4 linked regions of the Danio rerio genome follow. The protein of the gene in region 2 purifies or fractionates together with the protein of the main gene of each other region. This does not show direct contact. Links are inferred from orthologs where the notes say so. Each region holds a gene or a part of one and is shown on either strand. Other genes may lie near its edges.

Region 1 (5,807 bases), on a different chromosome or scaffold from region 2:
AACAATATTTTAAATATTTTGCGACATGGTGGGTCCACTGGTTCATCCATTAATGCATCCCATCACACACATTTTTATCATCACATGATCTCTAATAACAAAATCATATGATATTTAATGTGCATACTGGATTTTTTTCCCGTTATATGTCTTTCCATTGTAGTTTATGTGCAAGTTTATCCTACTCCTTTTACTACCTACTTATTTTTGGATTATCGCATAAAATGCTTGACAGAGATGCCAAGATGTGCATACATTTTAAAATTGCCATTAAAAAAAAGCATATTTTCAAAACTATGCTCATCTTGGTGTCTTCATCAAGCATTTTTTATGTGATAATCCAAAAATAAGCTGATGGAAACATTGCTGTAGACTCTGCAGTGCCCTGTGTTGTGCCATGATCAGCTGAAAGACTGCAGCTTTCTATTTTAGCACAAGTCCTCTGAGAGTCTTTTAAATATTAGAGTGACTTAAACAGGCTCTTGTGTGGCGGCATATTGGAAGATGCACAGCAATGTCAGATGTACACAGATAAGTCAAAAGTATTATGAAACCTCTGTCTAATTTACTGTGGGACCCGTGAAGGTGCCTTGTGGTGGACATTATTATCAGGTCTTTCAAATGCTGTAGGTTGCAAGGTGAGGGCAGTGTTTGTGTGGTTGATAATGTAGGTGTTGTGTTTGTTCAGGGTCCGCGTCCTGCTCTATTCGTGCCTGAGGTGTCGTTCGAGCTGCTGGTGAAGAGGCAGGTGAAGCGTCTGGAGGAGCCCAGTCTGCGCTGTGTGGAGCTGGTGCACGAGGAGATGCAGAGGATCATTCAGCACTGCAGCAACTACAGCACTCAGGTACACTGCACACATTGGATGAGCGCTTCAATGTTCTATTTTTCCCTCACAGAATTTGTTTTTCACTGCTATTCTTTTACAGCTTGTTATGTAGCACAGGCCAAACAGAATCTGCTGACATTTTTTGCTATTTCTGCTGATAATTTAGTAAAAAATATGCAGATTTATGCAGTAATGATTTGGGGGGTATCATAACTAAAAGCGTGAAAAAAAGCACCTTTTTAACGTTTTATTTCATATTAACAATGCAAATCCAATTAGATCCATTTATTTGGTAAACAAAGCAAGTCCCATATAATATGTCTACTAAAAGACTTGTATATTACTTATAAGTAATATATTACTTTACAAACTTTATTGTAAATAAATCTTATGAACATTTTATGAAATTAATTTAAAAACTGAATAAATATAAATTTACACAAGTAAATAAATGCTCGATGATGGGCAAAAAATCGGAGGATTCTGTGTGGGCTTACACAAGATGTTTACATCAAGAAATATAATTTGTTTAAGGTTTTTTAAGCTATGCTAAGATCATAAAGCTATATTTAAATAATTTTCTCTTTAATTTTTGTTCAGGAGTTGCTTAGGTTTCCAAAGCTCCACGATGCCATAGTAGAAGTGGTCACATCTCTGCTCCGGAAGAGGCTCCCAGTCACCAATGAGATGGTTTGTGTCTTTCTCATGTTCTCTTTATTATTTGAGGCATTATTGTGCAGCTTAAGTGCATATATTTCTTCTCCAAAGCCGCATTTGCACTCTGTTCCAGGTTCACAATCTTGTGGCAATCGAGTTGGCTTATATCAACACCAAACACCCAGACTTTGCTGATGCTTGTGGACTCATGAACAACAACATTGAGGTTTACAGACATTTTCATGATGATGTTTTGGCTAAAAAATACCAAATGAAAAATATTTTCATTGTAAAAATTATTTTCATAACAGGAGCAGAGACGTAACCGAATGAGAGAGCTTCCTACTTCTGTGCCTCGTGATAAGGTATGAAATTTAGGTTAATATTAAGTATTGTGTTTTCTTACAGGAAAAATGTGACTGCCCACCTCTGCTATTTAGTTTTTTAGTTAAAAAAAAAACCTTGCTTCTTTTTCCTTTACTTTTTTCTCAGAGTTAGTCTAAAACCTGCTGCTTTCCTCTTTAGGTGACTAGTTTCTTGTCTTCCTGTGTCTCTCTGTAGTCTTTAAAAGGTCCTGGTGGGCAGTCAATGTCACCCACTGATCAACCGTCTGCTGAGGGCGATGGCCCTAAGGTGTGTTTCGCCCCCTGTGTGGAGGGGCAAAGCATGGAGTTGATTTTTTAATCAAACTCTTATAATCCCCAACTGCATGATCGCAAACCACTAAACTGACAGCAGATGATGCTTTTGCTGGGCAGTTTTGGTTTTACTGATCAGGACTTTCTCAAACCTCTGTTGTGTGTTTGCTGAGTTTACTTGAAGACCCTCTGCAACTGCAAGTGTAATTTTGCAGTTGTGTCTTTTCAGTTTGTGGCCCGAATTGGTGTTTTATGTGTGAACTAATGCGTCCGGATACTTTAACACACTGTAAGTATGTGACCTCTATTGTATTGGTGTCATTTCTAAGAATTTGGCGACCATGCCTGCAACCAAACGATTTTTTTTTACTATTTACTAACCTGCCTAATTAACCTAGTTAAGCCTTTAAATGTCACTTTAAACTGTAGAAGAGTCTTGAAAAATATAAAGTAAAATATTATTTACTGTTATCTTGGCAAAGATAAAATAAATCAGTTATTAGAAATGAGTTATTAAAACTATTATGTTTAAAAATGTGTTGAAAAAAAAACCTCTCTCCATTAAGCAGAAGCAGGGGAAAAAATAGACGGGGACTAATAATTCTGACTTCAATTATATATATGTATGTGTGTGTGTGTGTGTGTGTGTGTGTGTGTGTGTGTGTGTGTGTGTGTGTGTGTGTGTGTGTGTGTGTGTGTGTGTGTGTGTGTGTGTGTGTGTGTGTGTGTGTGTGTGTGTGTGTGTGTGTGTGTGTGTGTGTGTGTGTGTGTGTGTTTGTGTGTGTGTGTGTGTGTGTGTGTGTGTGTGTGTGTGTGTGTATGTGTTTTATTAATTCATTTTCTTTTTGGCTTAGTCCTTTTATTAATCCGGGGTCGCCACAGCAGAGTGAACCGCCAACTTATCCAGCAAGTTTTTAACGTAGCGGATGCCCTTCCAGCCGCAACCCATCTCTGGGAAACATCCACACACTCATACACTACGGACAATTTAGCCTACCCAATTCACCTGTACCTCATGTCTTTGGACTGTGGGGGAAGCCGGAGCACCCGGAGGAAACACACGGGAAAGCAGGGAGAACATGCAAACTCCACACAGAAACGCCAACTGAGCCGAGGTTTGAACCAGTGACCTTCTTGCTGTTTGGCGACAGCACTATCTACTGCGCTACTGCCTTGCCGTGTGTGTGTGTGTGTGTGTGTGTGTATACATATATATGTATACATATATATGTGTGTGTGTGTGTGTGTATATAATTTATATAATTTATATATATAATATTTATGTATATATATTAATATTATATATATATTAATATATATATATATATATTATATAAAATTTATATATATAAATATAACACAAGTAAACACATGCAGTTTTGAAATTAAGTTTGTGTTAATAAGGGCAAACAAAATACAAAATAGTGTATTAATAGTGTGCAAAAGAATTTGGCACCCCATTAAAACTCTGGAAACGTAAATTTATCACACCCAAATTCAATTTCTCAAGCTATATTCAGACCTAATTACTACTACACCTGTTTGCAATCTAGAAACATTCAAACAGGACCTTTCTGACAAAATGAAGTAGACCCCATGATCCTCAAAAAATAGACATTATGCCGAGATAAAAATAAGGAATCAATAACGGGGCAAACACTTTTTCACAGACTGTATAAAAACACTACATCATGAATAACTGTTTGCAACTGTGAATGCAAGAATGTATGGGTCTTTCCCAGTGATGGGTTGCAGCTTAAAGAGCATCTGCTGCGTAAAACAAAAGCTGGATAGGTTGGCCATTCATTCCACTGTGGCGACCCCTGATTAATATGGGACTAAGCGGAAAAGAAAATGAATAATTGTTGAAATGAACATTAATTGTTCATGTTTGTAAACACATTAACTTAAAGAACTCTTTTACAAAATGTGACCGTTAACAGCATAGTCGGTTGTATTCTTAGTACTCTGCAAACCCGTTTCAAATTTCAGTAGTTCTGTTGCCAAAATATGACACTTTTCTCGAAACTTTGCAAGTCCTGCCCTTTCACAAGCAAATTTAAAATGACAGAGTGCACAATATGTTTGACTATAAACATAAGAACCAGTGTTTTGAATCCATTCTTTCACTGAAATGCAAATGAAAACAAGCTCTTCAGCATTTCCAAATGTCTCTACATTTGAGGATTGAAAAACTTGAAAGTATGCTAAAAGTTCAATTAACAACAAAAACACACTAGCGTAAATGTATCCTCCATGCGCTCTCGGTTTATTCTGTCTTTACACTTTTGATAATGAAAAACCATTGATTACATGAACTTAGATCATTTATTTGGCTGTTCGATATATTTCACATCTAACATGAATGCATAAAACACCAATGGACTGCATGGCGTGGTATATACTGTAAAACACTAGTGGGCACTGTACAGTAGTGTCTTGTTCTTGTTTGTGTGTATCAGATGGCTGGAGGAGCTCAAGCGGAGCAGGAAGGAGGAACAGGGACCTGGAGAGGTATGTTGAAGAAGGGAGATGAAGGCCAGGGTGAGGAAAAGACCAAACTACAAAGCTCTATTCCAGCCAGCCCTCAGAAGGGGCACGCGGTGAACCTTCTCGATGTGGTGAGTAAGGATGGGTGACATCCATGATAAACAATTATGTTTTTTTTCTACTGTAGTCTGAGCACTTACAAGTGTTTCTGGTAACACAGCTTTCTATCTACATACAGTTGAAGTCAATATTATTAGCCCTCCTGTGAATTTTTGTTGTCCTTTTCAAATATTTTCCAAATGATGTTTAACTGAGCAAGGAAATTTTCACAGTATTTCCTATAATGTTTTCTTCTGGAGAAAGTCTTATTATTCGGCTAGATTAAAACAGTTTTTAATACTATTAGCCCCCTTAAGCAATACTTTTTGACTGTCTAGAGAACAAACCACTGTCACACAATGACTTGCCTAATTACCCTAACCTGCCTAACTAACCTAGTTAAGACTTTAAATGTCTCTTTAAGCTGAATACTAGTATCTTGAAAAATATCTAGTCAAATATTATGTATTGTCATCATGGCAAAGATGAAAGAATCAGCTATTAGAAATTATTTATTAAAACTATTATGTTTAGAAATATGTTCTTTCTGTTAAACAGAAAACTAGATGATGAAAATTACAGGCGGGCTAATAATTCCTCTATATTTACAGTTCATTTACATTGACACTTACATGAGTACTTTTGCATGAAAGTTGTTGCGACATTGTATTTTTACAGTGGTCCAAAATGGAAAAACTTCTTAATCCAGAGGATTTTGTTTTGTCATTGCTGTTTTTCTGGCTTGGTGTTTTAAGAGACGGGCACACCAAGCTGACGGTCGGCCATTGGGTTTGTCAGGCCATCATTTTACATCAATCTGGCTAGTTGGTTTAGTGTGTTCCATAGGTTGCCTCTCGTAGTTACTGTCGGATCGAATTGGCCAGATACAGCATCTAGAATTTATATATGTAACAGAGAGCACTCTGATTGGTTAATCCATTATGAATCAGAGTACTAGATCAAAAACTGATGTGATGTAGCAAGTAAACAATTCAAGTCCAGAAAGAACACAAAGTGGTCGGCTGTAATTTTGCTACATTTCTCAAAGATTTGCAAACGATTATTAGACATCCTCTCCCAAAGGTGCAAGAACATGC
Region 2 (6,418 bases):
GTCCCAATTCTTAGGGGTACATTTTGAAGACCTTTCCCTTATCCCTGTAAAGGCTGATATATACTTCTGCGTCAAACACCGGCGTATGCTACGGCGCTGACGCATAGCCCTTCGCCGTGGGCGTCGGCGACGCTGACGTGCACCTCTCAAAAATTGTAACTACTTGTCGCAAGGACGCGTAGCGCAAGCTCTGTGATTGGTCGGCTTGGTAGCGCTGACGAGTCTGGGTGAGACCAAGAGCTGCGCGAATGGCGCGAGCCCCTGGAGTGATTGTTTACAAGTGTGGAGTCCCGTGAAGGAGCTTCTAATGGAAAGTTTTGTTTTGTGTTTACCTCATAGTTAAAGTTGTTGCACGTCCGCCAGTTCCTGCCTCTAAATGAGCGAGTTTGAGCCACTTGTACATCCCGGAAGTGTTCAGGAAAAGCAAAACAGTAGTGAAGAAACTCGACACAGAGAAACATTAACACCTCACTGCCAACTAGTGTTTCGGAAGTGTTAATGCAGACCAACAGAGACACACATACGGGCGTTGCATGTGCCGTGGGTCACGCCGGTCACTTGACGCATAAGTATAAACCAGGCTTAAGGGCCAAGGGGAAGGGGTAGGAGTACAAAAATAGAATTGGGATTGGGCCTAAATGAACATGCTCAAAATGAATTATGAAATTCCATTTTAATAAAATTTTTTAATGAATACAAAAAAATGTCAAGAGAACCGTATTTGTTTACAATAGAAATCCACTGTGTTTAAACATAAGTTTGGCCAAAGGAGAAATGGTCGTACTGAGGGGCCGATCACACCTAACACGCTTTATGCGTTGAGAGGCACCTTTTTTGAATGGTTTTCTAACGGCCGTGAGCGTTTTGCGCACTGCTTATGTGCCCTGTGCGCCTCGCGTTTTAACCGCCTGCTGCGCCTCGCATTTTTGCTGTTGCACACCGTGCGCTCGGAGTTGAAAAGAAGTCAACTCTGAGTGAAAAAGCGAATATAGTGAATACCAAAAACAACATTAAAAGTATCTAATATAATGTTATATGTAAAAATGTAAGAAATCAGTTGAAGTAATAGACGAATGATGTGGAAAGATGTGGTAATGGGGTGAGGAAATTATAAGCTTGCGCTTCATCCCGCTTTATTTCAATCATGATGAAATGTATTTTGTTTAAAGAATTGTTTAAAGTGTATGATTTTTAAAAATAAAATAAATCAAATCAAATGTATTTACGGTCACGTTTGGTCTAGTTGTTGCATGCTGCATAAAACTATTATTTTAGGCCTTTACCAACACATCAAAGCTCCTAGCATCTTTCCGCTAACAAATAAAAGTAGCACGCCAGGCTTTTTCCGTTGGCTTAACTTGCTGAATCGTTGCTTGTCAGTGTGTAGAGAATGTCTGAGAAATGACATGCGTTTATCTGATGATTGTTCACGTTTGTCGGTTTCTGTCGGTACAGTGTGAATTGGCCTTAAGACTGCCGTTGACAGGTCTGCTGGACTGTGCCTCATCAGCAGGCCAGTGCAGTAATCTCGCTTATTTTGCAAGCACTGCCTGGCCCTATGTGGCAAACAGCACAGTCTCAGTGGAAAAAAACATAGACAAGGTCAGAACACCAAACAGCTTGACCCAATGAATAATTACTGAAGTCAGATTTTGTCCACGTCATTTACCCAACAAATGCTCCTATATTTAGAAAATCTGCAATTACAGGGAAGAGGCGATGTACTGTTTATTTATGACCCCTGAGGGTCAATGCACAACAACAGTGTCACTATAAACTTCTCCAGGGCACGCTGTCCTCTTTATGGGTTCATTAAAAGAAAATCTCCAGATACTCACGGCAAGAGCTTTTTTTACCCTGAACCGTCCCGAAAGCATCTACTGACCTGAGCAGGTGTGCGAGTCAGATCAAACAGGCAATCAAGCCTCTTATGACTTAAGCTGTTTTACTATTAAAGGAATATTCTGAGGTCAGAACAAGGTAAGCTGTGCTGTAGTGTTGATTAACACATGAATCAACTCACTGAACACTTTGAAGAGCAAAGTAAACCGGTAATGTAATGATGAGCATATTCTAAAGTCAACATTATCATACAACATTCACTCACCGGCCACTTTATTAGGTACACCTTACTAGTATCGGGTTGGACCTCCTTTTGCCTTTTTAATCCTTCGTGGCATTGACTCAACAAGGTAATGGAAATATTCCTCCGAGATTTTGGTCCATATTGACATGACAGCATCACGCAGTTGCTACAGATTTGTTGACTGTACATTCAGGATGCGAATTTCCTGTTCCACCACATCCCAAAATAGCTCTATTAGATTGAGATCTGGTGACTGTGGAGGCCATTTGAGTACAGTGAACGCATTGTCACATTCAGGAAACCAGTCTGAGATGATCTGCGCTTTATGACATGGCACGTTATCCTGCTGGAAGTAGCCATCAGAAGATGTGTACACTGTGGAGGGATGGACATGGTCAGTAACAATACTCAGGTAGGCTGTGGCGTTGACACGATGCTCACTTGGTATTAATGGGCACAAAGTGTGCCACGAAAATATCCCCCACACCATTACACCACCAACACTAGCCTGAACTGTTGATACAAGACAGGATGGATCCATGCTTTCATATTGTTGATGCCAATTAATTCTGACCAAACCATCCAAACGTCCCAGCAGAAATCGAGTCTCATCAGACCAAGCAACGCTTTTCCAATCTTCTATTGTCCATTTTTAGTGAGTCTGTGCAAACGGTAGCTTCATTTTCCTGTTCTTAGCTGACAGGAGTGGCACCCAGTGAGATCATCTGCTGCTGTAGCCCATTCGCCTCAAGGTTGGATGCGTTTTGTGTTTAGAGATGCTCTTCTTCATAACTGATTGTTTTGTAACGAGTGGTTAATTGAGTTACTGTTGTCATTCTATCAGCTGGAACCAGTCTCGCCATTCTCCTCTGACCTCTGGCATCAACAAGGCATTTGTGCCCACAGACTTGCCGCTTACTGGATATTTTCTCTTTTGCAGACAATTCTCTGTAAACCCTAGAGATGGTTGTGCGTGAAAATCCCAGTAGATCAGCAGTTTCTGAAATACTCAGACCAGCCCGTCTGGCACCAACAACCATGACACGTTCAAAGTCACTCAAATCACCATTCTTTCCCATTCTGATGCTCGGTTTGAACTGCAGCAGATCTTCTTGACCATGTCTACATGCCTGATTGCATTTGCATCAGTTGCTGCCATGTGTTTCGTTGATTAAAAATATGCGTTAACAAGCAGTTGGACAGGACAACCTAATAAAGTGGCCGGCGAGTGTACTTAAGCAAGAATTCTGCCAATTTGAATTTACATAACCAGAAGTTTAAAAATTGAATTTAATCTACTTCATAGCTCATATACTAATATATATATATATATATATATATATATATATATATATATATATATATATATATATATATATATACACACACACACACAAAATGGCAAATACACTTAAGCCATATAAACATTTAAGGTACTGTCTGTATAATATAGACCCATAAATTTCATTTATGCAAAGGAAACGCAGCATTATAATCTAATATGTAGACATAGTCAAAAATTACTGTTATTTACTATTAGTTTATGCAAAATTTAAAATACAAACTTGACACAAAAACAGTATGCTATTAGTGTTTTAAAAATACATTTAGTACAGGGCTGATATACATATGAGGTTATGGATGACCATAAGGATTTAAAATATATAAACAAAGGAGCAAATCTAAATCAAAACAAAATTAAAATGCCAACTCAAGGTCACGCCCCCTCGCCAAAGACGTCACATCATGCAAGTAACACAATTAGCATCTCTTTGCAAAAGCAGAATCGCTCTAACGTTAAACCTGCAAACAATCTCTCCTTAGACACTCTTATTATTCGTTAGGATTACTTATATATGCGATTACGAATGTTAATACCTCTATATGAAGCTTTGACAGGTCGACATAGCTGGCATTAGCCGTTTGTTTACATTTGTTTCTTTCACTTACCTGTCCACGATCTGCTGCATTACAACCGCTCCTTCTTCTGCCATATTTACATGAGTCCACGCACTAGTTATCGAGTAAAAAAAATACTTTAGTATTATCTTAATAATAGAGATTCAACCGTCAGGCCGCAGTGAACGCTAACGCGATGCTAACAACGCATATGGCTACCTTACTGACATCAAACGACAGCTGAAATCCGATCATAGACCATTGAGATCAATTAATATAAACCGATCTGTTAATGAATATTCATAAATGCCAGTATTTCCAGAAACACGCAGTGACTCCATTGACTGCGCGTGAGAAAACGCGAGCGGACGCGGCACCGCGCTTGTGCGAGCGTTAACTTCGGAATCGCGAGACCGCAAGTGCATTCTGGGACGTGTAGTCTTTATTCCATGTAGCCAAAAATATAAAAATTTATGTTCTCGCAGAGGCAGGCAGCCCAGAGCAAGAGAGACTACGCCTGCTGGAGCAACATGAAGATACATATTTGGCTTCAGAATACCTCGTACTGTGGTAAGGAGAGTGAACATATTTCAGCACAACTTAAAAATGACTGGAATGCATGTTTTATTTAACTGCTTACTGAAAGGGATTCAGTAATAATAATACATGTGATTAGTGAGGGCTTGATTCATTTCATATAGCACATACCTTTGGAATTATAGTGTTTGTTTATTGCTGATGTGTTTTGATATGCTATATAAATATACAGTGTATACACATTGTATATAACATATAGTGTTTTGATGTCAAGCATTAATATGCCTCTTTAGCTAGGCTATATTTCTGTAAATTCACTGTAGCATATTTACTGCACTGTTCTCTATAAGGAATGTACACCTCACATTTGACCCATGTGAATAGCTTTAAATACAATAAGAAAAACCCAGTTGGTTACTTGTGATTAAAAAACAATAATACATAATAAATAATCTCTGTATTAGTATTAATGAGTGTTCGTTTAGTATTTAATGCAGAGATATCTGAGAGAGATCATTGCATTTTTAAAATAAATCTCTATTAAATTAATGTTGGCTTTGTATGCTTTTAATTGTGTTTATTTTGATATTTGAATTGATATTTAATAACCAGATTAAACATACTCAAGTAAGTTTGGGTTATAAAATGGAAAAATTCTGCTGCATTACAAACCCTCCTTCTTCTGCCATATATATTTACATGAATCCACGTACTAGTTATCGAGTAAAAAATGTACTATAGTATTATATTTAAAAATAGAGATGCAATCGCCAGGCTGCAGTGAACATTAACGTAATGCTAACATTGCATTCGGCCACTTTACTGTGTTTATTTCAGCCTGATCTCACGAGAACATGTATTTTTCGTTTTGTCGGTTTTGTGGCTAATTCGTACGAACTAGTTCGTTCGTACAAAATTGTACGTTTTCAAAAAGGAGGCGTGGCACCTAACCCCACCCCTAAACCCAATTGTCATTGGGGGATGAGCAAATCGTACAAAAAATGTACGAATTAGATCGTACTACTTCATACGATTTAGTCACTAAATCAAAAAGTTACAAATTGCCGTTAGATTGTTTTGTTTATTTTCATAATCAAAATCACCTACTGTGTTTATTTTGATAATCAAATATCAAAATAAACACAAAAAAGATCTGATTTCAGCTGTTGTTTGATGTAAACAACAGCTGCAATCCAATCTTTTTTATTGTGTTTATTTTGATCTTTGATTTGATATTCAATAAACAAATTTCAACATTCAAAAGTTCAATAAAAGCGTAAATATTGTGTTATAAAATTGAAATGTTCTTGGGTAGTTTCAGCATAACATCATGCAAAACATCACTGCACAATTAACCATATTACATGCTATTAAGATGTACTCAAAGAAATCTAAAAAAAATCTGATTAATGTATAAAATGAATAGAAAAGTAATCGAAATCGACATTTAGAACCTATAATCGATCTAATTTTCCAGGTCAAATTTTTTCGCTTACTTTCCCTATCACGCGTGGAGTCATGTGACCCCGCTCTGGCTGATTTATACTGCTGCATCGAGCGCACTCATATGGTCAGACGCAGCCTTCATGCGGTCGCATACAATAATACACTATAGCCTTTATACCTTCTACTTTTATTATGAAAAACATTGAAAATAATTTATTTTTTCCAAAAGTGCAAGTTATTTAAAAAGTGACTGCTCATTTTAGGCAATGGGTGTTTTAGTTTACTTTGTTCAATGTTGATGCGCAATAAACAATCATTGATAGTACATAGTGTGTGTTTCTTTCAATTATTATAAAGTCAAGTAATGTAACTTTCATTAAAAAAATCCCTCACCTGTAATATGTGAGCATATTTACTGTACAAAACCTGTCAGTGAACTATGAGGTCAAA
Region 3 (6,310 bases), on a different chromosome or scaffold from region 2:
TTTGAGATTCATCTTAATGGATTCATCATCATGTCACAATTTATGGAGGAAAACACAATAAAACTGAAAAGAAAAAAAGATTGTTGGACCTGATAGAAATGTGATATTTGGCAATAAAGGCAAATTACATGTGTGACATACATGTTCAGGGGCGACACGGTGGCTTAGTGGTTAGCACTGCAAGAAGGTCACTGATTTTAGTTCTGGATGGGTCAGTTGGCATTTCTGTGTGCATGTTCTCCCCATGTTCTCGTGGGTTTCCTCCGGGTGCTCCGATTTTCCTCCACAGCCTAAAGACATGCGCTAAATATAGGTGAATTGAATAAGCTAAACTGGCCGTAGTGTATAAATGTGAATGCGAGAGTGTATGGGTGTTTCCCAGTGCCCGGTTGCAGCTGGGAGGGCATCCGCTGTGTAAAACAAATGCTGGATAAGTTCATTCCGCTGTGGCGACCCCTGATAAATAAAGGGACTAACCTGAAGGGAAATTAATTAATAAACTAAACTGTTCGTACTGTGTGTGTGTGTGTGTTTTCCAGTACGGAAGGGCATCCGCTGTGTAAAACATATGCTAGATAAGTTGGCGGTTCATTCCGCTGTGGCAACCCCTGATAAATAAGGGACTAAGCCGAAGGGAAATTAATCAATTAATTAATAAACTAAACTGGCCGTAGTGTGTGTGTGTGTGTGTGTATTTCCCAGAACTGGGATGCAGCTGGAAGAACATCCGCGGTGTATGCTGGATAAGTTGGCGGTTCATTCCGTTGTGGCCACCCCTGATAAATAAAGGGACTAAGCCAAAGGGAAATAAATGAATTAATTAATAAACTAAACTGGCCGTAGTGTATGTGTGTGTGTAAATGAGTGTGTATGGGTGTTTCCCAGAACTGTGTTGCAGCTAGAAAGAACATTCGCTGTGTAAAACGTGCTAGATAAGTTGCCGGTTCATTCCACTGTGGTGAAACTTGATAAATAAAGGGACTAAGCCAAAGAGAAATTAAGGAAATAATAAACTAAATTGGCCGTAGTGTGTGTGTGTGTGTGTGTGTGTGTGTGTGTGGGAATGAGGGTGTGTGTGAATGAGTGTTTCCTAGTACTGGGTTGCAGCTGGAAGGGCATTCGCTGTGTAAAACACATGCTGGACAAGTTAGCGGTTTATTCCACTGTGGTGACCCCTGATGAACAAAGGGACTAAGCCGAAAGGAAGTGATTAAACATACACGTTCATCTTTGGATTTCACATATTTAAAATATGTCATAAATGCCACATATATTATGAAATATTGCAAAAATGGCCGCTTTTAATCATTTTCAATCATTCGAATTTTAAATATATGTTAGAATATATTAGCTATAATGTTGTATATGTGTTCATATAAACAATGATAAGTATAAGGACATACATAATTAAATTTGGGAAAACCGTTACCTTTTTTTGACTTTTGAACGCAGTTCCATGTTTGTTTTTCCTTACTGCAACATGCATGTAAAGAATGTCGACAAAAATCTGAGGGCTGTAAAAATCCCAGAAAAGCATCTGGAAACTCATCCTTCAAGATGTTTTGTTATGAACTACTGAGCGCCCGGAGCGACGCAGTGGCGTTTCTTTGTCGAGTTTGCATGTTCTTCCTGCGTTCGCATGGGTTTTCCCCGGCTACTAGGCTAAATTGTCCGTAGTGTATGAGTGTGTGTGTGAATGAGTGTGTGTGGATGTTTCCCAGAAATGGGTTGCGACTGGAGGGGCATCCACTGCGTAAAAACGTGCTGGATAAGTTGGCGGTTCATTCCACTGTGGTGACCCTTGATAAAAAAGGGACTAAGCGAAAAAAAAAAACGAAAAGAAAATGAACGAATGAATACTGAGCGCCCTCGCGTGGAGCAAAAAACAACAACAACAAACGTCGCATGTACATGACGTAATACATCTACCCGCCGTTGGAAGCTAATGCTAAGATAATGGCGACCAAATAATCACTCCGCTCTTATGTAACGTTAGATATGGAATACCTTGCTAAGTACGGATATTTATACTGAACGTAAAGGTAAATACTCATCACATTTATTCACAAATTATGCTTCTTACGTGAAGATAATGGAAGCACTGCTTTCACACCCACTTTTGATGGTCAAACGCTTATGAGCAGTTCGTTAGGGTTAGGCGTTGTTGCGGGTCTTGTTTCGGTTTCGCTTATCCTGTAAATGCTTTAACAAAAGCTGTGATCTGGAAAGCTCTTCCAGAGGAGGATTTCATTAATATATGTTGCGATGACATCGCTGGATCAACATGCTTGAGGATTGTCATAAGATATAATACATCCTACGTTCCTACTGGTAAACATATTTGCTTATAAAATCAACTGTATTGACTTATATGTGAAGATGTTGCTGTGCACGTCAGGTTTGTAGTTTAAAAATGTCCTTTAATTTCGTGCTGGTAACGTTAATGTTAGAAAAGACACTCAACGTTACATAAGTGAAAGGTATGATTATGTGAATGTTTCATCTGATTGCAGCGTTTCGAGGTTGTAAAGATATATAGATTATATATCATTACTTTTTAAATGCATGAATATTGAGGAATAAATAATAAACATTTGCTCTTGACAGCTAAATTGTCAAGTGGGTCCGCCTTCTTTTTTCTAAACCAATCAGAATCGCTAGTCTCACGTCAATCTAACTGCGTATTCGGAATTGCTCGAATATGACTGGCTGAATTGTCTTTGGGGCGGGATTATTAAGAATGATGCAATTTGTCTCATTCAGAGAGATAAAAATTACTGGTATAGATATATATAAAAAATGAAATCTTAAATATGATATACTAATGCGATTACACGGTACGCATTGTTTAAATATACATAATTTATCTGTTACGTTGTACGCATTCCAGCTTGGTGGATCAATCACGTGGTCACGCCGCCCGGTCTAGTGTAGTGGAGGATTGCAGTGGGTTTGGGGCAGTCGAGGGTTGCCGCTTGTGTCTGTGACATTGAGCTCGAGAAAAAGTCCTGTCGGAGCTATGACTCGGATACTAGAGTGTTTAAAATCATTAAAGCTAGAATAAAGACATTATATTCACATTTAACGTCGTTTAAGTTGTTTAACGCGTTAGTTTCTGTCTGGAGAAGAAGTGGGTTGGTGTCGCCTCGTGGAAGTCGTGACTGTGATGTTAGTGTGGGTTATGGATTATAAAATGTTCATAAAACATTGTAAACTCTCTACATTGAGTTTACATCTTAAGTGACCGGACACCTCTAGATCAAATGCTGGGAAGCTGATCCAGCTTATTCGATCTTCTCTATTTATATAAGCTGTTACACACACTGCCAGGTAAGACTTGCTATTTTATTATCATTAAAGTACGTGTTTAATCTTAATTGATCGGTTGTTGCCTGCTAAAATACATGTTTTTTTTCTTGGAACGTTTTAATAGCTAATGATATCTCTGTTAATTAGCAGCAAGATGTTAGAAAATTAAAAGGAATAGTTCACCCAAAATGAAAACTGTCATCATTTAATGTTAACCTAGTAGGACATTCTGAAACACTTAATGTGAAAAAAGCTTAACGTGGCTCAATGTACCTAAACATCAACCAGAGAAACCCAAATTTCTGTCAAACGTTACCTGTAATTTAGAGGTAAATTTGGTTTTATATTAGGATATTCAGACTTTCTCCTTAATAATATAATTTCAGGAAAGTATTGTTTGCCAATTCTAAATAGGGAAATCATATGAGCAGCAAATGACTATTAAAGTACAAAATTGTTTACAGTAAATTAGTGTTAATGTTGTTTACAAGTCATACTTGCATGCTAATTCGGATCGAAAATTCAAAGTAACATATTAAACAATATAGAGACTGCTAAATGAACAAATGTGTGAATTTAAAACCAACTTTACCTGTATACTTGTAATTAACCCCAACTACTGTAAAAAAAAAAAAAAAAATAAAAAAAAATAAAGTCCTAATTCAAAGATAAAGTGAAAAACATCACGTTAAGCATTTTCTCCCATATTGAAGTCTTTTATAAGGACAACGCTCAACAAGTGGGAAAAATACAATTTCTATTAAATTTTATACGTGACTAGGGATGGGTATTGTTAAGGTTTTAACGATAGTACTACTTTAATCGATACCACTTATAGGTTCGATACTTTAACGGTTCTCTTATCGGTATATTTTGTTGTGTTTTTTTTTTGTACAAAATCAAATTGAACATAATTAAAACCCTATATATTATTATTACGTTTTTATTGTAAAATAAAATGAAACCAATAATTGTAAAACAAATAAATAGATAAAAATCCTGTAAAAGAATGTACAATAGATTGAAGGAAAATGACTGTCAGTTTTTAAACTGGAGAAAAATCAACATGTTTGCCTTTTCTGGCAGAAGTCGGGACCTTTCTTGCCTTGTCAATCTTCACTAGTTCCAAACAGGTTTGAGTTTCTTCTTTTGATAACAGAAGATATTTTAAATAAAAAAGCTGAAAACCTGTAACCATTGACTTCTATAGTAGTCATTTTTCCTACATTGTAAAAATGCTGAGTTACACACAATCATCATGTCCTCCCAACACAAATTGGTTAATTTAACTTGAAGGTTTTTACAATTTTAAGTTGATTGGACATTACACAATTAAGTTGTCCCAAAAAATCCTCAAGAATAGTGTTATGTCAGATAATTTAAATTAGTTAAAACAAGCAGCAAAATATAAATTTTTAAGTGATTGAGGTAAAGTTTTTTTTTTTTTAATATTTCGCATATTAAATTAGTGATTTCGCATAGTCAATTATGCTCCCTATGTTGTTTGCCATGGTACTTTGAATATTCAGTCTGAAATTACATGCAAGTATAACTTGAAAACAACATTAGCACTATTTATTTGACAGTGAACAGTTATATTTTGACATTTATTGGCTGCTAATATGATTCACTATTTAGAATTTTGCAAATAATATTTTTTTGAAATTATAATATTAAGGAGAAAGTATAAATTTGAGAATATAAAACCAACTTTATCTCACTAAATGACAATAGTCATCATTTAATGTTAACTTGGTCAATCTCCACTAGTTCCAAACACGTTTAAGTTTCTTCTTTTGAAAACAGAAGATATTTTAAGTTAAAAAAAAAGCTGAAAACCTGTAACCATTGACATGTATAGTATTCGTTTTTCTTATATTGTAAAAATGCTTGGTTACACACAATCCTAATGTCCTCCCAACAAAAATCGGTTAATTTAACTTGATTTTTTGCAGTTTTAAGTTGATTGGACATAACACAATTAAGTTGTCCCCAAAATCCCTCAAGAATAGTGTTATGTCAGATAATCTAAAATGAGTTAGAACAAGCAGCAAAAATATTTGTTTTTTAAAGCGTACTACGACAGTCAAGCTTCAAAATATAATTTATTTTTTTTATTACCTAATACAGGTTTAAAACCATAAGTGTAAAAATGTGAATGTTTTTATTGTGGTGAACTATCCCTTTAATCATTTGGATTTGTTTAAATGATTAGACATTGTGTGAGAAGGTTAGTGTGTGTACACTATAGCAATGTTTCTCAACTGGTGGGTCGTGACCCAAAAGTGGGTCGCGGGAACATTTTCAGTGGGTCGCGGAGTGTGTCGTCAAAAAAACAACAAAATTTTATTTTATAACTTATTATGTGAGACTTATTATGTGAGCTTATATCAGACTTTTATTTTGAAATCCATGTGCGACAACTGAACTTTTCCTTACCCTAACCACTGTTTACAGTATTTGACGTTTTTACTCTGTAATATTACTATAATTTGATGCATTTTGTTAAATGACAGCAATAAAGTATTGTTTTTTGTAAGCCTTGGTGATTTTCCTATGATTTATCTGTCACTACTTGTGTAGGTTAACAAATAAATACAAATGATTTATAATTCCTAAAATTATATTATAGTTCCTGAAAATTTGCACTTTCACTTTCCACATGTAATATATGGGTAGTTGCCATGAAATTTCAGATCTATAACCTTCCTAGTGTAATTATCATACATGCAGTGCAGTCTTGTGGTCTCATTACTTAAGGGACATACATTATTTATTTTACTATTATGTAACTAATAGGTAAACAAAATGGTAAATAGTGACTTAAAGAGATACAAATCCAAACCCGCTTGAGTTCCTTAATGAGTTTCATTGTTTTAAATGCACTGAATATATTTTGAAAGAAACTGGAAATCAGTGACTATTGACTTGCATTACGACATTTTTTAAAAGAACTTCTTTTCTGTTCAACAGAAAAAAGAAACTCAGGTTTGTGACTTTC
Region 4 (5,807 bases), on a different chromosome or scaffold from region 2:
TGTGGTATTGCAATGTTTTGTTTTGCTGCGATATATTGATATGAACATAATTTCACCAGATGATTTGTAGGTCTATTTGAGGAGATTTCAATAATTTAGATCGGCTGGGGTGATAAAGTCACATCTGCACAAAGTATAATAACTTGCAATCATATATAAATAGGAAAGTACAAAAATAAAAGTGAAATAAACGGTGCTTTATGGATTTCTAGGAAGTCTAACAGTAATCAAATACAAAAATATAACAATTATCAAACATAAAAAAAAATGGGCATCATTGTATAAATAATTCTATACAATAATATGTGTGTATCTGCAATAGTTGCATCAAATTATATTATTTTAATATTGAATTTTTAATACATAATCTAATCCTGCGATGCGACTATTGCAGATACACACATTCAAGCTCAAACTATATATTGTTCAGTTGTAGTCATTACAGCTCAGGTCAGTGTTTTGAATCTAATTGTTTAGTTTTATGGAAAACAGGTGTATAATAATCGGCATAAAGTACATCCAGCTGGTTGTTATCGCAGAATAAACCCTTCAGTGTTTTATAAATGCTGCTGATAAACCCGTCAGGCTTTATTCTGTCTGGATGTTCATTATTCCTTACGTGTGTTTTGTTAATTCAACAGAAACCTGTGCCAATGAGTCGTTGGAGAATATTGCCAACAAAGACCAGTTGGATGAAATCGAATCGTACACCAGCAAACTGTCCATCATTCAGGAGGTGTTGGCTCGCAGACATATGAAGGTGGCTTTCTTCGGCAGGTGAGTTTTGTGTTGCTTGTGCTTTTATCGCTCATCTCCACTGAGTTTGGAGTAAAATGTGATTATTTGTTGTCATTTAACATGCTGCATTTACTACAGCAGTAGTTCATTGAGATGGGACGTCATTATCGCAGAATGATTATCTCAACTATCATTGACTGATTAAATTAAATTCGGATTTACACTGATTTTTGCATAGCTTCTGAGTGTACAACACCTTTTTTTCTGCTCTTTTAATGGTGCCTGGGTCATTTTCTATATAAGTATGTTGATTGGAAATATACATAATATTATGTAGAATGTAAGATTACAATGACCATCAGGACATTTTTTTAAACAATTAGCAAAAGACATTTTTGGATTCATACTTTTATTGACATTGTGTATATGGAAATGTCCACTCCTCGCATCCACGATGCAAGAGAGGACACCATCTGACTTTGGGCGCAAACTTTGGACAGACTTAAAGATTTACTAACTTGAATATATGAGACATCAAAAAGCATGAACTTCTAGTTCTTTTTTTCCCTCATTTATTATTTATTATCAATTTGTTTTATCATTATATTATTTATTTATCTTTATTTAATTTATTTTTATTTTCCTTTTTTTTTTTTTTTATCTCTTTTTATGGTAATGTAAGGTTTCCTGTTTGGGCTTCTAATAACTTTCATTGTCGTAGACCTTTTTCAACACAGTTTTAAATACCTCTATGTTTAAAAATCTGTGTGTTTGTATGCGTGTATATCTGTGTGTGTGTGTGAGTGACTGTGTGTGTGTGTGTGTGTGTGTGTGTGTTTGTTTGTTTGTATGTGTATATGTGTATGTTTATATATATATGTGTGTGTGTGTGTGTGTGTGTGTGTGTATATATATATATATATATATATATATATATATATATATATATAAATATGTATGTATATATATATATATGTATGTATATGTATTAATTTATTTTATTTGTCATTTTTATTTGCGTTAGTATGTCCTTGTCATTATTCTTCAGTTTTTCCTTTTTACTGACAATATTGTTGTCATGGCTGACACTATTATGGATACTATTATTTAACAACTTGTAGATTGGGTTATATATATGTATATCTACACATTTTGTTATATGCTGATTGTCTACGGCATGTTTTTCTGTGTTCAAAAAATACAAAATAAAAAAAATATTTGATGGAAAAAAAAAAACAATTAGCAAAAGACAAATAATAATAACAATATAAAATACAATAAACAACCCCCCACACATCCATACATTGTATAGTTGTCACAAAATGTTTCTCATAATGATATTACATAAAGATCACAATGGTTGAGGGTGATAATAAATAAAAACAATAATGTAATTTTTTATGTCAACAATAATTATATTTAAAAAATATGATAAAACATTGACTTTAAATAATAACAAAAAATAAGACAAAATAACAACTACAAAAACCCATACAAAAACAATAACAATAACAATAATTAAATGAAATAATCAATTATTAAAGTCTAACAGAGGTAATGTGTCAATAAAAGGGGCCCTAAATACAGTCAAGGTTTGTGAGCTTTTGTCTGACCGAATATAATATGGTGCCCTGGTCATTTGTAACCTATAAGTCAACATGAGAGTTAATAAATGTTATAATTATCCTCTGTTCGCTGTTTTCTAGAACAAGCAATGGTAAAAGCACCGTCATCAACGCTATGCTGCGTGACCGTGTGCTGCCCAGCGGCATCGGACACACGACTAACTGCTTTCTGAGTGTGGAGGGAACAGATGAGGACAAGGCCTTTCTGAAGACTGAAGGCTCCGAGGAGGAGAAAAGCATCAAGGTACGAGAGACGTTTATTACTTTCTAAACACTAGGCATGGGACGATAACCGGATTCAAGGATTACCGTGTTGTGGAGAAGGCATGGTTTTAAAACTGAAAACTTTATTATTATTATTATTTTTTACGTGTTAACAAATTTGAAAACTGCAATAAAAACCTAAATGAAACATGTTGTTTAACATTTGTAAAGATCATGTCAGATGTGTTTTTCCTCCACAGACAGTAAATCAGCTGGCTCACGCTCTGCATATGGACGAGAGTCTGGACGCCGGCTGTCTGGTCAAAGTTTTCTGGCCCAAAACGAAGTGTGCTCTGCTCAGAGACGACCTGGTTCTGGTGGACAGGTACATTTCAGTGCTCTCAAAATGCTGCTAATATGAGATAATATTAGGTATCATAGTGAATGTTGATACTTGAATCACAGTCAAAATGGTTTGCTCTCATGTTAAATTTTAATTCTGTTAACAATAAGTGCTGCTTAAAGTAGATTTTTTTCCAAGCAGTTTTAAACCTAATATTTTCCTAATAACTAATTTTCTAATAACTAAAATATATTGAACTTCTCTTTCAGTCCTGGAACTGACGTGACCACAGAGCTGGACAGCTGGATTGATAAGTTCTGTCTGGACGCTGATGTGTTTGTGTTGGTGGCGAACTCTGAATCCACACTAATGAACACGGTGAGCTGTGCACTGGATTATGCTGATCCGAGTGTGTGCTAGTGCTGCACCACACTGGAGAAAAGTACAGTATTGTTCTTGGGTTTTGCCATAACAATAGTTCTTGCAATATAATATTTACTGTTATACTATAGATTTATAGTTAACGCTAACTCTATCAAGCCTCTTCAGCTGCTTCAGAACGCAGCAGCACGAGTGGTCTTTAATGAACCTTAAAGAGCACATGTCACTCCGCTGCTCATCCGTTTGCACTGGCTGCCAGTTGCTGCTCACATCAAATTGAAAGCTCTGATGTTTGCTTACAAAGCGACTTCGGGCTTTGCTCCTTCTTATCTGCTCTCACTTCTGCAGATCTATGTGCCCTCCAGAAACTTGTGTTCTGTGAATGAACGTCGCCTCGTGGTTCCATCCCAAAGAGGGAAGAAATCACTTTCCCGAACTCTCGCATTCAATCTGCCCAGTTGGTGGAATGAACTCCTGAACTGCATCAGAACAGCAGAGTCACTCGCTGTCTTCAAGAAACGACTAAAAACTCAACTATTTAGTCTCCACTTCTCTTCCTAATCTGCAATTCCCTCTCTGACTCCTCCACTAACTTAAAAAAAAATAAAAATTACTAACATTTTGCTTCTTACACTTTCTTTACACACCTAAAACTTGCCTACAGCACTTATTCATTGTTGCTCTTATAGTTGTGTAAATTGCTTCCTTGTCCTCATTTGTGAGTCGCTTTGGATAAAAGCGTCTGCTAAATGACTAAATGTAATGTTACTATACTATAGAACATAGGTCTCAAACTGGATTCCTGGAGGGCCGCAGCTCTGCACAGTTTTGCTCCAACCCTGATCAAACACAGCTGATCCAAATAATGAAGGTGTCCATGACTCTTTGAACGCCTCGAATATTAGGATCAGCTTTGTTTGATAGGGTTGGATCCTAACTGTGCAGAGCTGCGGCCCTCCAGGAATTCAGTTTGAGACCTGTACGCTATAAAATATTATAACACAATATACTATAGAATATTATAACATCATAGCACATTATATGTGTAAATATAAGTATAAACGTTTGCATATGTTTGAAAATTGGTAATATTTAAATACTAGGACAGCATTGAAGTGCTAGAAATGTTTGTAAATGCACCTGGAGAGTGCTTGAAAAGAAATTTGACTTTGGAAAAGGTGTCAGAATCCTGTAATAATTAACTATGTGGAAACGGTCAAGCACTGTCACCTAAAGTCATACATGAATTGGAAAATATCATTTATACTGAAGCTTTTTACGAAAGTCCCCCGAGAGAGGCCCTGAGAGAGGCACTGAAGCATCCTGGGATAGCATGCATGCCTCAGTGGGTAAAGCAGAGTTCAGTGTGTGCGTGTGTGTGCGTGTGCGTGTGTGTGTGTGCGTGTGCGTGTGTGTGTGTGTGTGTGTGTGTGTGTGTGTGTGTGTGTGTGTGTGTGTGTGTGTGTGTGTGTGTGTGTGTGTGTGTGGATAACGCAGCTCTGCATTCCTCTGACCGGCATGCAACCAAACACTGAGCAAACCCTCCCGCTGCTACACATACCCATATTAGCACACACACACATGCACACACTTCATGCCATGTGACATCATTACTCAATATGCAATATGACGATGTTGAAGTCAGTATTTTTTGTTAAACATAATTTAATTTTTGTTCTTTACAAAAGAGTTCCTAAGTGCTGTTTAAAGGGCTGGTCCACTACAATACCATATGTTAAACTTTAGTTGATGTGTAATGTAGCTGTGTGAACATAAACAAAATCTTTGAATGTAGACAGTAAAAGTTCAATGCAAAGGACATCATTGTTTTTACATAATTAATATTATTTGATTTATTTAACGTGATGCTTGCCTGATTTAGCACATTCCTTTAGTCCTGTCTTTATTTCTTCATGCTCAGTACTGATTTAATGCTCTAGTTCAATGGTTCTCAAAGTGGGGGTCGGGACCCCCCGAGGGGTCGCGGGACAATGAAGGGGGGTCGCCTGGTGGTTTCCAAAAATCTATTTATATTTTTTAAACCATAAGAATTACCATATTTTATCCATAACCTTCTGAAAAGAAAAAAATAGTCGTTTATACTATATATAGTTACTATAGTAGCTTATAGTTACTACTTCTATTGGATTGCAACCCCTGGGGTAATTGCATTGTATTAAAGACACAGCAATAGCGTCAGATGCAGCAGATTTCATAACACCTGGTTAAACTTTATTGCCCATTTACAGCTCTCATACATAAAAAAAATTAAAAGAAGAATAGACTTGGGTCCATTGGTGTGTGTGTGTGTGCCATTGCATGCAAGGTTTCTGTATTTATAACCACCTCAGAGGATATTGGGGGTCACGAGTCACTGGCATTGTCATTTTGGGGGTCGCGGCCTGAAAAGTTTGGGAACCCCTGCTCTAGTTTATTACTCCTGAACAGCTGATCAGATAAGACTGAATACCTGTGTGTTGTATTTACACTGACTGTGTGTGTGTGTGTTCAGTAGA

What was found.
Region 1: the proteins of marchf5 (region 2) and dnm1l purify together in Homo sapiens (affinity purification with western blotting, with the first as the bait; 3 studies listed by BioGRID). This does not show direct contact. The link is inferred for Danio rerio from reciprocal best matches to the Homo sapiens genes MARCHF5 and DNM1L.
Region 3: the proteins of marchf5 (region 2) and mfn2 purify together in Homo sapiens (affinity purification with mass spectrometry; 5 studies listed by BioGRID and IntAct, counting the BioPlex papers as one, with this or other methods). This does not show direct contact. The link is inferred for Danio rerio from reciprocal best matches to the Homo sapiens genes MARCHF5 and MFN2.
Region 4: the proteins of marchf5 (region 2) and mfn1b purify together in Homo sapiens (affinity purification with western blotting; 4 studies listed by BioGRID, with this or other methods). This does not show direct contact. The link is inferred for Danio rerio from reciprocal best matches to the Homo sapiens genes MARCHF5 and MFN1.

Annotation. Positions count from the first base shown.
Region 1 is NC_133200.1:21,485,534-21,491,340, reverse strand, and holds part of dnm1l (dynamin-1-like protein), read left to right. Parts: intron 1-688; coding exon 689-844; intron 845-1,426; coding exon 1,427-1,516; intron 1,517-1,616; coding exon 1,617-1,709; intron 1,710-1,794; coding exon 1,795-1,848; intron 1,849-2,044; coding exon of another isoform or gene 2,045-2,116; intron 2,117-4,583; coding exon 4,584-4,742; intron 4,743-5,807. UniProt on the Homo sapiens protein: Functions in mitochondrial and peroxisomal division.
Region 2 is NC_133188.1:45,976,363-45,982,780, forward strand, and holds the start of marchf5 (E3 ubiquitin-protein ligase MARCHF5), read right to left. Parts: upstream 4,377-6,418; 5' UTR 4,081-4,376; coding exon 4,037-4,080; exon of another isoform or gene 3,792-4,036; intron 1-3,791. UniProt on the Homo sapiens protein: Mitochondrial E3 ubiquitin-protein ligase that plays a crucial role in the control of mitochondrial morphology by acting as a positive regulator of mitochondrial fission and as an important regulator of immune response.
Region 3 is NC_133183.1:57,628,552-57,634,861, forward strand, and holds the start of mfn2 (mitofusin-2), read left to right. Parts: upstream 1-2,004; 5' UTR 2,005-2,042; exon of another isoform or gene 2,043-3,330; intron 3,331-6,310. UniProt on the Homo sapiens protein: Mitochondrial outer membrane GTPase that mediates mitochondrial clustering and fusion. Mitochondria are highly dynamic organelles, and their morphology is determined by the equilibrium between mitochondrial fusion and fission events.
Region 4 is NC_133186.1:46,710,564-46,716,370, reverse strand, and holds part of mfn1b (mitofusin-1b), read left to right. Parts: intron 1-641; coding exon 642-777; intron 778-2,444; coding exon 2,445-2,607; intron 2,608-2,827; coding exon 2,828-2,952; intron 2,953-3,179; coding exon 3,180-3,288; intron 3,289-5,807. UniProt on the Homo sapiens protein: Mitochondrial outer membrane GTPase that mediates mitochondrial clustering and fusion. Membrane clustering requires GTPase activity. It may involve a major rearrangement of the coiled coil domains.